Linked DNA regions of Rattus norvegicus. The main gene of each other region encodes a partner of the protein of the gene in region 2 in a complex. Links are inferred from orthologs where the notes say so. Each region holds a gene or a part of one and is shown on either strand. Other genes may lie near its edges.

Region 1 (4,042 bases), on a different chromosome or scaffold from region 2:
TGCAGGTATAGCTGTGTCATGCCCCTGCCTGCCTACTCCGGCCAGTACCCTAAGCCCCAGGATCTCCAGCCCCTGCCTTCTGATGCCTTAAAGTTGGGCCACAGGTCCTGCTGGGTCAGAGCCTCTCAGATGCGGAGCTCCAAAAGCTCAGCTCAGGACCAAAGAGCTCTGGCCTAGGGTTCATCCTTTCTCCAGGGTGTCTGCCCTCTGGACAGAAGGCCAAAGCCTTGGTCTTGGCAAACCACCCCTTTTGCCCTAAGCTTGGGTGCAGAGACCAGTATTTTCTGCTGGCTTCAACAGTGTCCCCTGCTGTCTGTGAAAGGTGACCATTGTACCCAGGCCACTGGACCTCTACCATGTTCCTTCAAACCCAGATCATCACCATCCCCAGGCTGGATCACTGGAGCAGGTCTCCTCTCTGCCCATCTGAGGGGACCTAGGGACTCTGCCCCTGGCCAGCTGAGCCACCACCAGCCTCCCTCCTCAAACCTGATGAACCAAACTCACTCCAGTAGGGGGCATTCCCTCCCCTTTCCCCCTTCCTGCCCTCCCCTGCTCCCTGACCTTTGCTGAATTAAAGTTTGTAAGTAAACGGTTTTAAGAAAAAAACATCAGAGCTGGCTGGTTCTTGTTATAAACCATGGGCCCAGCAAAATAGCTCAGTATTCTGGTACAGGACTTGACACTAATCCTGACAACCTGAGTTAGCCCTCTGGCCCAAAAGGCGGAAGGAGAACTGACTTCCACAAGTTGTCCTCTGACCTACAAACATGGCACAGATGTGCTCACACACAATCCCTAAAATCTAAATTGGGCTTGGAGGCCAGCCTGATCTACATTTAGTCTATATAGAGACCCAGTCTGAAACAATTTAAATCTTGGGCATGGTTGCACATAACCCTTAATTCCGGCAGAGGCTTTCAGAGTTAAAGGCCAAATGAAGGAATCCTGTCTAATTATTAAAGGACTCGGAGGTTGGTCCCAATTGCTGCTCTTACAGAGAACAGAGTTTAGTTAGTTCCCAGCCCCCACACTACCCTTTAACTCTTCTGGGCTCCACAAGGCACGTACTTGGTGCTCATACGTACATATAAGCAGAACATATACAATGAGGCCTAAGGGGGAAAAGAATCCAACCAGGGGGCGAGGCCGGAAGTTCAGCTGGATCAAGTACGTGACCTCACACGGCGATCAAACGCTGCGATTAGAGTAGCGGCGACGCGCCGGGGATACTCGGTCTTCCGGTCACGTGGCCTATCATGGCCGCCTCCATGGCCCGTGGCGTGAGCGCCCGGGTCTTGTTACGGGCGGCCGGGGGATCTTGGGGACCCAGGGCCGGGCACGCGGCAGTAACATCTAGGACGTTCGGGTCTACAGGTACATAGAGCTGGGCTGGGCCGTGGCGGGCAGTGCGGCCGCAGCCGCTCACCCACTCGTGTGTTTACAGGCGAGCGGCGTGCTGGCGAGGACGAGGCGGACAGCCCGGAGCTGCCCCGGGATGTGTGAGTGCCCGCCGTGCCACGCCCTGCCCCGCCCTGCCACCTAGCCACAGGCCGGCCTCGGGCTCAGCACCTGCACCGTTTGTCCCCAGGGTCAACGTGGTGTTCGTGGACCGCTCTGGCAAGCGGATCCCGGTGAGGGGCAGAGTCGGGGACAATGTTCTTCATCTGGCCCAGCGTCACGGGGTGGACCTGGAAGGTAGGTCATATGAAACTAGGGAGACCTTGGCATTCTTTTTGTTTTTTTTGAGACAAGGTTTCATATAGCTCAGGCTGACCTCGAACTTAAGTATCTGTGGGTGACTTTGAACTTCTGACCCTTCTGCCTCCACCGCCCGAGAGCTGGTGTGCAGTACCACAATGCGATATTTTTGTTTAAGTGGGGTATGGGTGGGTCAGGGCTCACTCTGAATCAGGCGGTCCAGGAACTTTTAAGTATGTAATCCCGGTTAGCCTTCAACACATTACAGTGAACCTACTGCCTCCACTTCCTGAGTCCTGAGACCACAGGCATGTGCTATCATACTACTGTATAGATGGGGTGGGAAGGACTGAGTCCATGTTATTCAGGCTGTTCTGAAACCAGCTAGGTAACCAGACTAGGCTCAAACGCACTATAGTGATCCCCCTGCCTCCACCTCTTTAGTGCAAAAAAGATTAAGACAGTCTCTGTGACTTACCTCTAAAACCACTGGCTGATCTACTCCTCAGCGTTCTCAGTTCTGGGAATACAGGTTGTCTTTCTTGTTTCACCATCTTTGAGTTAAAGCCGAAGCAATAGTGGAACTGGAAAGGTCACCAGTGCTAAAGACTGCAGATGGCTTGTGAGAAGACCTGTGTTCTCTTCCTACCACCGACTCTATGCCAGGCAGTTCACAGCCTTCTGCCATGTACATTCCCTCACCTGGTCCCCATGGGCACTGCATTCTCATGCACAGTCCACACAGAAACATATATAAACACTGGAAATCTTTCCTTAAAATAATACTAAAATAAAATTGGGTTTTCGAGCAGCCCTTACCAAGCTTTTACTACAGGCTCCTGGAGTCTGTTCTTTTGAGCTTGTGGATTCGTGATGTTGACCCTTCCATTCTCTAGTCCACCACTGAGCACCTTTTGGGGAGAAGTATGGAGGCAGGATCTCTGTCTCCAGGGCTGGGTCACAGATGTGCAGCTGGACCCTCACTGCTCTTGCTCTCTTCAGGCATCAAAGCTCAGTCCCAGCCTAGGACCTCTGTGCTTGTTCTCTGTCAGAAGTGTTTCCCCAACAAATGCTTGGCTCTTTCTCATTCTGCAGACTTGACAGTGTGGCATCCTTTCACCCAGCTTAAGCCCGTGCCCGTCTGTCTGGGTATTTAGTGGCCTCAGAGCTTGGTCTGTGTTTGCTCTCTGACGTCTCTCCCACAGTGAGCCTCATTCATACCAGCTGTAACTCCCAAGCCTCTGTAAGCAGGTCTGAGGTCAGTGTGTGTTGAGTGCCTATCCCTTGGGACAGCTTCAGGAATAGAGGAGGCAGTAATTCCACCTTGCAGAGAAGGGAGCTGTGCACCATGTTGTGGTAAGCAGGGTGCAGAAGCAAGAGTAGTGTGTGTGGCAAAACCTGATTTCAGACATGAATCAGGTCATTAGTCATCTCATGTCGCTCCTGTGTGAGTTCTGCTGAGTGTTTTCCTTATTGGATTTATTTAGTGCGTGTGTGCCTCTGTAGAGATGAATGGACAACTTGAGGGAGTCGGTTCACTCCTTCCATGTTATTTTCCTAGGGATTGAACTCGGGCTACTGGGCTTGGCGGTAACTGCTTTACCCAATGAGTGCACTCCAGGCCAACCAGCGACTTGTAACAAGGCCCTGTTCAGATTCATACCCAGCCTGGATAATTTAGCAAGAGTCCCTATCTCAAAAATTATGACAAATTATGAAAAAAATTGCCCCTCCCCCCAAATGATGAGAGTCCCTGTGTGAATACTATCTACTGTGTGTACCAAAGTGACAGGTCCTCTGTCATATCAGAATGGCCATTTTGAGCCTACCAGGAACCATACGCCCAAGAATAAACACAGTTAGGTTTTCGTTGGCAGACCAGTTGGGAGGGACGGTGCTGAGTTAATGGGATAGGAGGCCTGAGGAATCTAGGTGGCAGAGGTGGCCAGGCATGGTGGTGCACACTTTTCATGCCAGCACTTGGGAGGAGAGGCTGGTAGATGTCTGTGAGTTTGAGGCCAGCCTGGTGTCTGTCTACATAGCAAATTCCAGGACAGCATACAGAGTGATTCTCTTTCTCAAAATAAACCCCAAACCACTAAAAATCACTAGAGAGGTTAGGGGGTGGATGAGTGTTTCTGTTCCCAAGTCTAGCAGACGCTGTGCAGAACAGAATTTGTAACAGTTCAGAAGCAAACCATCCATGTCTCTGGTGCCTCACCAACTCTGTGAACTCTGAGCCGGTTTCTCCGAGCCTTCTGTTTCTTTTGTTTGGTGGATTGCTGAGAGAATGAACGTATTTAATGCTTGGTAGAGAGCAGAGTACATCAACAGCCAGCCA
Region 2 (4,300 bases):
ACTGGGAAAGTGCGTTAGTGTAGGAGTTTGCCCCTCGGGTGTCTGCTGTGTTTACTGTCCAGCTGGTGTGTAGGTTTCACCAGAGTTGCCACTTGTCCATTTTGTTTACAGTCTCAAATTTCAAGGTGTGAAAATGAATTCCTATCTGCAAAGCTGTAAGTAATCTATTTAATCTGTAATATACACATATAGTTCAGTTTTGTTTGCTTTGTTTTTGTTGTACTGCAGACAGAATCTAGAACTTGGGTCATCCTAGGCAAACTGTCTACACTCATACATTATCAAAATTTAAAATATGTATTGTTAGACTTCAACATTGGTTAGTCTTCAGTTGACTCATATAAGCACATGGAGTTTTGTGGTGATGGTGGTTGGGTTATCTATTCATTTTTTTAAAATCTATTTCGAGATAGGACCTTGCTATGTAGTCTAGGCTACCACACCATCGATGATCCTCCTGCCTTAGCCTCTGGAACTGAGAATGTGGATATGGCAGTCACACCTACCTGGCTGCTAGTCTTAAATAGATTCTTTCTCACACTTATAATTTGTACTGAGGTTTCACTAAAGCCAAAAAAAGAAAAAATCTTAATGGTATGGGAGAATTGTGGCATATTTTATTTTTTGAGGGCTTCACTATAATAACCCTGGCTATCTTGGAACTTGCTTGTAGACCAGGGTGTCTTTGAACTCTCTGAGATCCTCTTGTCTGCAGAGTGATGGCATTAAAGATGCTTGCCACCATGCGATGATCACCAGCAAACACTTTTTTTTTTTTTGACAGAAAATGATGCAGTTTTAATATACCATTTTGCAGAAAGGGTCACCAGCACAGAGAAAAGGCAAAAATTGCTTTCGGGTTGATTTTGCCGAAGACCGTCGTTTCTGAACCCCTGACCACAGGAAATTCCTGCTTTTTTCTCCCATAGGCTAGACATAAGATTCACAATCTAGCATAGTCCCCTTCTCAAATTCCCTATCCTTTTTATTTAGGAGGAAAAGCCTTACTTAATGAGTTAATTCGAGGCTTGAGACTACCCCTTTTGTTGGTTGTGGGCTCACCCATATAGCTGATTGCCTATAACTTTTTTCTATTTATTTTTTACTTATTCACTTTACATCCTGCTCACTGCCCTCTCCCGATCATCCCCTCCCACAATCCTTCCCCCTCCTCCTCTCCTTCTCTGAGTGGGTAAGGGCCCCCTGGTTACCCCTCTATCCTCTACGAGGCTAAACGCTTTCTCTCCCACTGACAGCCAACAGTATATTTCAGGACTTTGGGAGAAGAAACAAGTCAGTTTCTTTTTTGAGTCAGTGACAGCGTTTAGGGTTAGATGGCATTTGTGCAGTTGCACCACAGTAGCCCTTGCCCTTCAAACGGAGGTGGGTGCAGCGCGGCTGGGAGCCGCCAGGGACCGCCAGCGCCCGCAAAGCCCTCAAGCGCCGCTCTGTACGTCGCAGGCGTAAGGCGCTACCAGCGGCTTCGGCGGGAGGCCACGGCGCGGTGCATCCTGGGTTGGCGTAGCCATGGCGTCTCGTGTCCTTTGCGCCTGTGTCCGCCGCCTGCCTGCGGCCTTTGCGCCGCTGCCCCGGCTTCCCACGTTGGCTTTGGCCCGGCCGCTCAGCACCATTCTCTGCCCTGAGGGAATCTGGAGAAGAACCGGGACTCTGCAGCCCACCTTGGCGCTCGCGCAGGTGACTCGCGGTGACTTTGCCGGAGCTAGTCAGGGGTCAGGGCTCCGGGCCATCCGGGCTGGGGGAGGGGCTCCAGCCAGCTGCACACAACATGCAGGGGTGGTCGGGGTACACGGCTAGCCCCACTGCTAGACGGGTTTTGGTTGACCACTGTCGCGAAGCTAAGTGTCTTATGATTAGAGCACAGGATTTTGACCAAGTCTTGACTGAACAGCAAAATTGGACACCAGCTCTCATCCTTGCGGAGTGGCAATGAAGTTTAGTTGAGAGATCGGGTAGAGCACGTATTGCCTTTGTCAATTGTGATGATGGCAATTACTGTGGTCACCTCCTAGGGAAGTGCACAAGAGGAAAACCACTTGCCTACAATAGCCCTCTCCAGAATGTTCTCTAGGTTCCTAGAGTTCTATCGTAATTTACCCGTTGTGGCACCTTTTGTCTGTGAGTCTTCTGGAAATAAGGATAGGAAACAAGTCCTTTGTAGTTTGCATATTTAATGAAACCAGTGTTATGCTTAAACTGTGAGGATGTCACTTTCAACCCTAGACGCCCAACAGAAGACCCTAGTGAGCCCTCTTCCTGCTCCCCTTCTTACCCCGCTGGGATCAAGCCCTGGCATGGCATTTTAAGTTCCCAGTGTACATGCAGGATTAGGGACTACTGTAGGATAGTCTCTGGGTCTAGTTGAAGAACCCCTTTTCTGTACTCAGCGAGCTTCCTGCAGTAGTGGTTCAGTCACACCTACATGCTACAAGAAGAAATAAGGTTCTACATCCAGTGCTGAGATTCACTAACAGTGTAATAGGTAGACAGGCCACTGTCTGTATCAAAAGGTTGTCATTATAAAAGTATTATAAGGGCAGTAAAGTTACCATGCCCTGGATCTAGAGATTAATTTCAGATTAAGCTAAAATGTGATCTTACGTTCTTACGACATTGCTTCTCAAACTTAAGTTGTGCACACAGATCATTCAGTAGGTCTGTAAGGTGTTTATTTTCGTGGGCTTTCTAGATGGGGTCCTGGGACCGTGCTTTGAACAGGTGGTGCTCTCTCTGCCTGCTTTATACAGATAGTAGAGGAACTGCTTTATGCTTACAGAATGGTTTTGATTAAGTTCATTCACAGATGTGGAGATGCAGTTGTTTCCAAAATATCTTAGGTTTGTTATTGGTCTGTGAACGTTCTCTGTACATCAGAAAGCAAATGGTAAGCGAGGTTTGTTAAAGGAATAAGAGACCTTTTCTCTGAATCACCCAGCTTAGATGAGTGAAATAAGTTGGCTTGGAAATTTCCAGAAAATGGAGAGGGAGTAGACTAAGGAAGAGTTTTGAAGAGGTGAGGGTTTATTTCAAACAGCTGAGTTTAAGGTGCCCCAGTTCATGAGGTTTGCAGTGGGCAAGTGAGAGATGGCCTTTAAAGCTTTTCCATAAACAAAGGACAAAGGCGAGTAGGATGGACTCTAATGCAGACTCATCAGTAGTGGGCCAGCTTAGAGTCGCTGCACATAGTGCCATCCTTGGTGCTTAGAGGTGATTGATGTCACACGTGAGTCTGGGGAGAACTCTAACTGAGACAGCCCGTATTGACTACAGGGAAGGTACTTTTTAACGGTAGACATCTGGCAGGTGGAAGCGGTTTAGCTCCTCCAAGAGAGGATGCAGGATAATGTAGGGCAGGATACCTACCATCCTGTGTCTTTTTGTAAAAAGTGTAACATACTGGCCCTGGAACTTATCAGTGATGCCTGGTGAATTACTGACACCTAGTGGCCTACATGAGTAACTGCACACAAGTCCACTCCAGTCACTTGTTTTCTCACTGCCTGTTCTCAACACTGTTTCTCCTTTTCTTCCATGTTAAATGCACTTCATACCAGCCCTGTGTTTCCTGTGATTGTTGTCTTTGAGACAGAGTCTCATTTTATCTTAGGCTGGCCTTGGTGAGAATATGTTACTCTGTGCTCACTTTGGGAGCAAGCCCTAGGACTGCAGCCCTGAACCACCCATGTCTTATTAAGTCCGCTTGATCTTTTTTTCCTTCCAGTCTAGAAATTGAACCTAGGGCCTCACTCATGCAGATAAGCCGTCAACTCCTGTCCCTTAATAGTTTCTAATCTCTTCTCAACTCCTTCTTGATATGCACACGAGATATGTTAGATCCTCCTACCTCAGACTTTTCTGTCATTCTCACTGTTAACATTTTTCTCCCACTTTCTCTTATTCCTGTCTGTCCTTCATCTTATCTGTGGCCTTTTTAGGTCATTGTAATGAGCAGGACTGGCAGTTTGTCTCTATCACAGGCCTCTGATATACAGTATAAAGGGAACAGTAGATTTAGGCACCAAAAGCGCCCTGCCATTCTTATTCAGAAATCTAGAATATTTTTCAGCTAATCTCTCTAGTTTTCTGATTAAAGAAGTTTGCTGCCGAGTAAGTATATGTGTACATTGGTTTAGTTTATGTATGTCCTTGCTATATACAGTCAGGCTTGCCTGGACTCTGGGTCTCCCTACCTCAGCCTCCCGAGTGTTAGGGTTACATTTGACACCACAGCATGTCTTGGGTCATTTTTTCATAGACACACTCAGGGTCCTGAGTGCCAACA
Region 3 (3,956 bases), on a different chromosome or scaffold from region 2:
ATGATCCTGAAAACACAAGTTGTTTCGAATAGAACATGCATCGTTTCAAAACTTGATACACTAAAACAAACGACAAGGCATGGTAAGTTGCCTTTAGAAATTACTCTTTGCTGTGTTTAGAGGCGGGGGATATGAAAGGAATGGATCATTGCAAGATCTTAATATAAAACAAGACCCAAAACTAACAAGTGCGTTCCAAACACAATAACCAGAATTATCGGAAACTTCTCTTCGCACAGTCCTAAAATCAAGGAACAAACCAAGAAACTTACTTTAGTAAGTTGGTTCCTAATAGCTAAATGCTGAGGAAAACCCTGTTCTTGTCTTGGGTCTGAAAGGATGCCTAAGAAACCCCCTAAAGTCCTAAGAGTTCCCTAATTAACCATGACATTTAAAGTCGAGACTTTTAGCTTTTTTTTACACACTGCTAAATTGTGTGCTCTTAATCAAAAAAGTAGTGCATGGTGTCCCACACATGTAATCCCAACACTGGGAAAGCTGCGACCAAGAACTCAAAGGCAGTCTGAACTACAAAACGAGACCCTGTCTCAAAAATTTAAAAAAAAAAGTGTAAGAAAAAAAGAAAAAAAAAACAAAAAATAGTGTAGCCCCTTCAATGAATATCCCGGAAATGGAAGTCACAGCCGATTGCAAAATGCATAACAGCAGGCGACCTGACACCTCAACTCTGCAGCAAGGCCAGCACTCACCCAGCCTACGCCGGGGAAACACAAACGCGGGTGTTTCGAAGTCCGCAACGCGGCCACACGTTCAATCGGTAGTCGCTGAGCTTAACCTCAAGCTACCCAGACACTGTGCGCGCTGGGCGCCGCCATCTTGACGGAAAGAGGCCCGGGCCCGAGGTCCCTTGTGCCGCTCGCCCAGAGAAAAGCCGGTGCTCCAGGAAGTCAATAACTAGTCACCTCTGCACCTCTGGCGCTGCGTCCCCCAACCAAGATGACACTTATAACCTCAGGCTTCCAACCAGGCCGAGTCAAATCAAAGTCACCCTCGCTGTCGCGCACAGCAGGTCAGGCAGTGACAAAGACAGCCGAATCGGGCAAGGGCGGAGCTAAGGGGTGCGCTTCGTCACCCAGGCAACCGGGCCTGGGCAGGTGTAGGGGGCGTGGTGTCCGGAGACAAAAGGGTCCAGGCCACGCCCCCAGGCGGTTCGGAAGGATAAGGAGGCTGTGAGCCACGGTGTTCGAGCCCGACTGTCCTCCGGAGGAGCGAGCCTGGGGCTGGACGGCTTGGCCTCCTGCCGGTGGGGCAGCCTGAGAGGAACGCAGAGGGTCCAAGTTACGGGCGCCTCCCCTTAGCTGCCCTCCGTCCTGCCTGCGGCGCCACCTCTCGCGCGGGGCGCGTGCCAGGCCGCAAGCCAGGCCGAGCCGCTGCTCCTGCCTTCCAGCGTGCTTTTTGCATCGTTTGACATTTCTGTTCAGTTAAACTTGGCACCTTTACGAAGAAGGACCTGTTTGGTTTTGTTGTTAGGTTTTGATTTTTTTTTTTTTTTCGTTTCCAACATGGCAGCCTCCAGCCGCGCACAAGTTTTAGATCTGTACCGGGCGATGATGAGAGAGAGCAAGCATTTCAGCGCCTACAATTACAGGTGACCCGGGGGGAAGGCCGGGAATCGGGTGCCCAACTCTGTTTGTGGGGGTCGCGGATCAGGCGGCCACAACCTTTGATAGTGACAGGCTCCACGTCTATGACACTCACGTGCAACTACCCACCCCCAGGTGTGACCCTCAGAGCCGGGGATGGGAGGAGCCAAGTACTTGCCCTTCAAGTCCTGGGACATCTTCCCTGAGCTGACACCCACGTAGGGGCTTTAGGACCATTGGTCTGTGCCTTGTTTCTGAGGTTCGAAGTGATGGACGCGAAGCTGAAGTGAGAAGTTAGGACAAGGAAACACAGCATACATGAAACTTGCCTTGAGATTACAAGAGTGGAAGCAGTCGGTCCAGACCACGTGGCCACAAAACTGAAGGCTTGCCCTACAGCCCCCTTTCATTTCACTGGTGTTTTAATTCCCGACTTTGGTTCCAAGTACCAGATGCTTTCTTATTAAAGGATGGTAGAGAGAGGCTACGTATACAAGGAGTGTTAAAGGTGAAATTTGTTGCTAAGCTTTTAAAAACTGAGTTCTTACTTGATCTTGCCTCGCCGAACTGAGATCTTCCTTCTAGATCCTAGAGTCTAGGACAAATCACAAGGGGACTAGAGCATCAATTCTTCAAAAACATTTAAATCTTGGGTGTAGTTTAAGTTATACATAAACACAAAAATTATGTTAATGAGGTAGTATGTGTGCACCACACTTTCATGCACTAAAGCTCGTACATTTTAACTCAGCCCGTTTGTCCATGCTTGGCCTGTTGTCCCACGTGTGTATGAACCCCTTATACTTGCCATGTGGTTCTGGTACACACCTTTCACCCCAGCACTGGGGAAGGAGACAGAGGCAGGTAGAACTCTGAAATTGAGGCCACCACGGACCACACAGAGAAACCCTGTCTCAAGAAACAGAACAATACACAAACAAGGACAACAACACTCAACCTTGAGTCCTTCACCTTCATAGTCTCTGCTTTGAAACTTCTGGCCCAACATTTCTGTAGAGCCTTTAGGGTTTTTCTGAGATTTGATGTCTTATTGATTAATTACCTAAATCCTTCGAGATTGAACCATACTCCTCAGAACAAGAATGTGATGAAACCAGGTCATTTTCCCCCAGTTAAATGAATGTTTGCAGTTACTTCCCAAGTGTTTCAGTTACTTAACAAGCATTATGCCCATGGGTGACTGACTAGGCTATGGGCTGGGGGTCTCTTCGGTTAACTCCTGAAACAGACCTGGTTCTAGGGTGCACCCTTCTCTAGGGATTGAGCTGCCGGGCCCTGTGGTAGGCAGGCTATGCACAACTTTAGCCTGTAGACAGATCGACCAACCTTTCCAACAGTAATTCATATTTCAGAAACACGCTGAGAAAATATAGTTGTCATATCAACTGAGGACAGCACATGGGTTAGACAAGTGACCTCATACCACTAAGCACGGGGTTAAATGAAACATGGTTTTGTGTGATGGTGTTGGCTTTGGAGGAACAGGGGCATAAGCGCTAAACCGCCTGGAGGAAGTCTCCATAAATATCTGTTGTCACTTGCTTACCAGTGATGGACCACAGGAGACTTGGAAGTAAATGCTCGGAGTGGTCCTTACACTCTAGAAGACGTCTGTCTCAAAAATAAAAAGGCACTGAATAAACGAGGACTAAGCAGAAGCTCACACTGGGGGACACATCTGGAAACAAGTTATATAAAACACAGGTAGCAGCCCTCACAGGATATGGAACCTTGGAGTTACTGAGACTCTAGGATTCAGTTTTCCTGGTGGTAAAACTAATTCACTGGACTAGACAGCCTCTTAAGGGCCCTTTCATTTCTAAATTTCCATCTGGAAGTGACTTAAGAGCCAGCACACCTAAAGTTTTCCTAAACTGTAGGAGTAAACAGAAAAACCTAGGCTGTGCCTAACAGAAACTAGAGAATGAGCTTCAGCACAGCAACTATATGCTGATAGGCTCTTAGTCTGTGCCTCACACCGATGTATTTTCCACAGGAATCTGGTGGTCACTTTTTCCAGATATCCAAAACCTGACAACCCTGCCAGCATTATGTCCCAAGAAAGTAGAACTTGCTTCGTGTAAAATAAGTCTGCCTTTACAACGCCCCCATAGAATTCAAAGATACCCTGTCCCTCTTCTCTCAGCCCACCAAAGTCATTCACTGAGTACCCATTGGTCACTTCTTTATGGCACTGTGTTCTGTTCCATAGGTATGTTAGCACATTGATTTTTGACAACCTAGTGATGTACTATTTTTCATGAACCAATCAAAACTAAGCACTAGAGAATCTAACTCTGCAAACAGGGTAGAAAGGGCAACGCATAGCAG

The links. Proteins that work in one complex are often made in the same cells at the same time.
Region 1: Ndufab1 (region 2) and Fdx2 share a complex: the UniProt entries of both Homo sapiens proteins name them as parts of the mitochondrial core iron-sulfur cluster (ISC) complex. The link is inferred for Rattus norvegicus from reciprocal best matches to the Homo sapiens genes NDUFAB1 and FDX2.
Region 3: the proteins of Ndufab1 (region 2) and Lyrm4 are in contact, whole or in part, in a crystal structure (PDB 6ODD), measured with the Homo sapiens proteins. The link is inferred for Rattus norvegicus from reciprocal best matches to the Homo sapiens genes NDUFAB1 and LYRM4. Residues at the interface, in NP_004994.1 of Homo sapiens: Lys92, Asp111, Ser112, Leu113, Asp114, Val116, Glu117, Met120, Glu123, Asp124, Glu129, Ile130, Asp132; in NP_065141.3 of Homo sapiens: Arg6, Leu10, Ser11, Tyr13, Arg14, Leu17, Arg18, Lys21, Arg37, Phe40, Arg41, Lys44.

Annotation. Positions count from the first base shown.
Region 1 is NC_086026.1:27,883,208-27,887,249, reverse strand, and holds the start of Fdx2 (ferredoxin-2, mitochondrial), read left to right. Parts: upstream 1-1,242; 5' UTR 1,243-1,259; coding exon 1,260-1,377; intron 1,378-1,447; coding exon 1,448-1,502; intron 1,503-1,591; coding exon 1,592-1,698; intron 1,699-2,796; exon of another isoform or gene 2,797-2,959; intron 2,960-4,042. UniProt on the Homo sapiens protein: Electron donor, of the core iron-sulfur cluster (ISC) assembly complex, that acts to reduce the persulfide into sulfide during [2Fe-2S] clusters assembly on the scaffolding protein ISCU.
Region 2 is NC_086019.1:186,086,537-186,090,836, reverse strand, and holds the start of Ndufab1 (acyl carrier protein, mitochondrial), read left to right. Parts: upstream 1-1,500; 5' UTR 1,501-1,527; coding exon 1,528-1,695; intron 1,696-4,300. UniProt on the Homo sapiens protein: Carrier of the growing fatty acid chain in fatty acid biosynthesis.
Region 3 is NC_086035.1:28,950,756-28,954,711, forward strand, and holds the start of Lyrm4 (LYR motif-containing protein 4), read left to right. Parts: upstream 1-1,156; 5' UTR 1,157-1,523; coding exon 1,524-1,609; intron 1,610-3,956.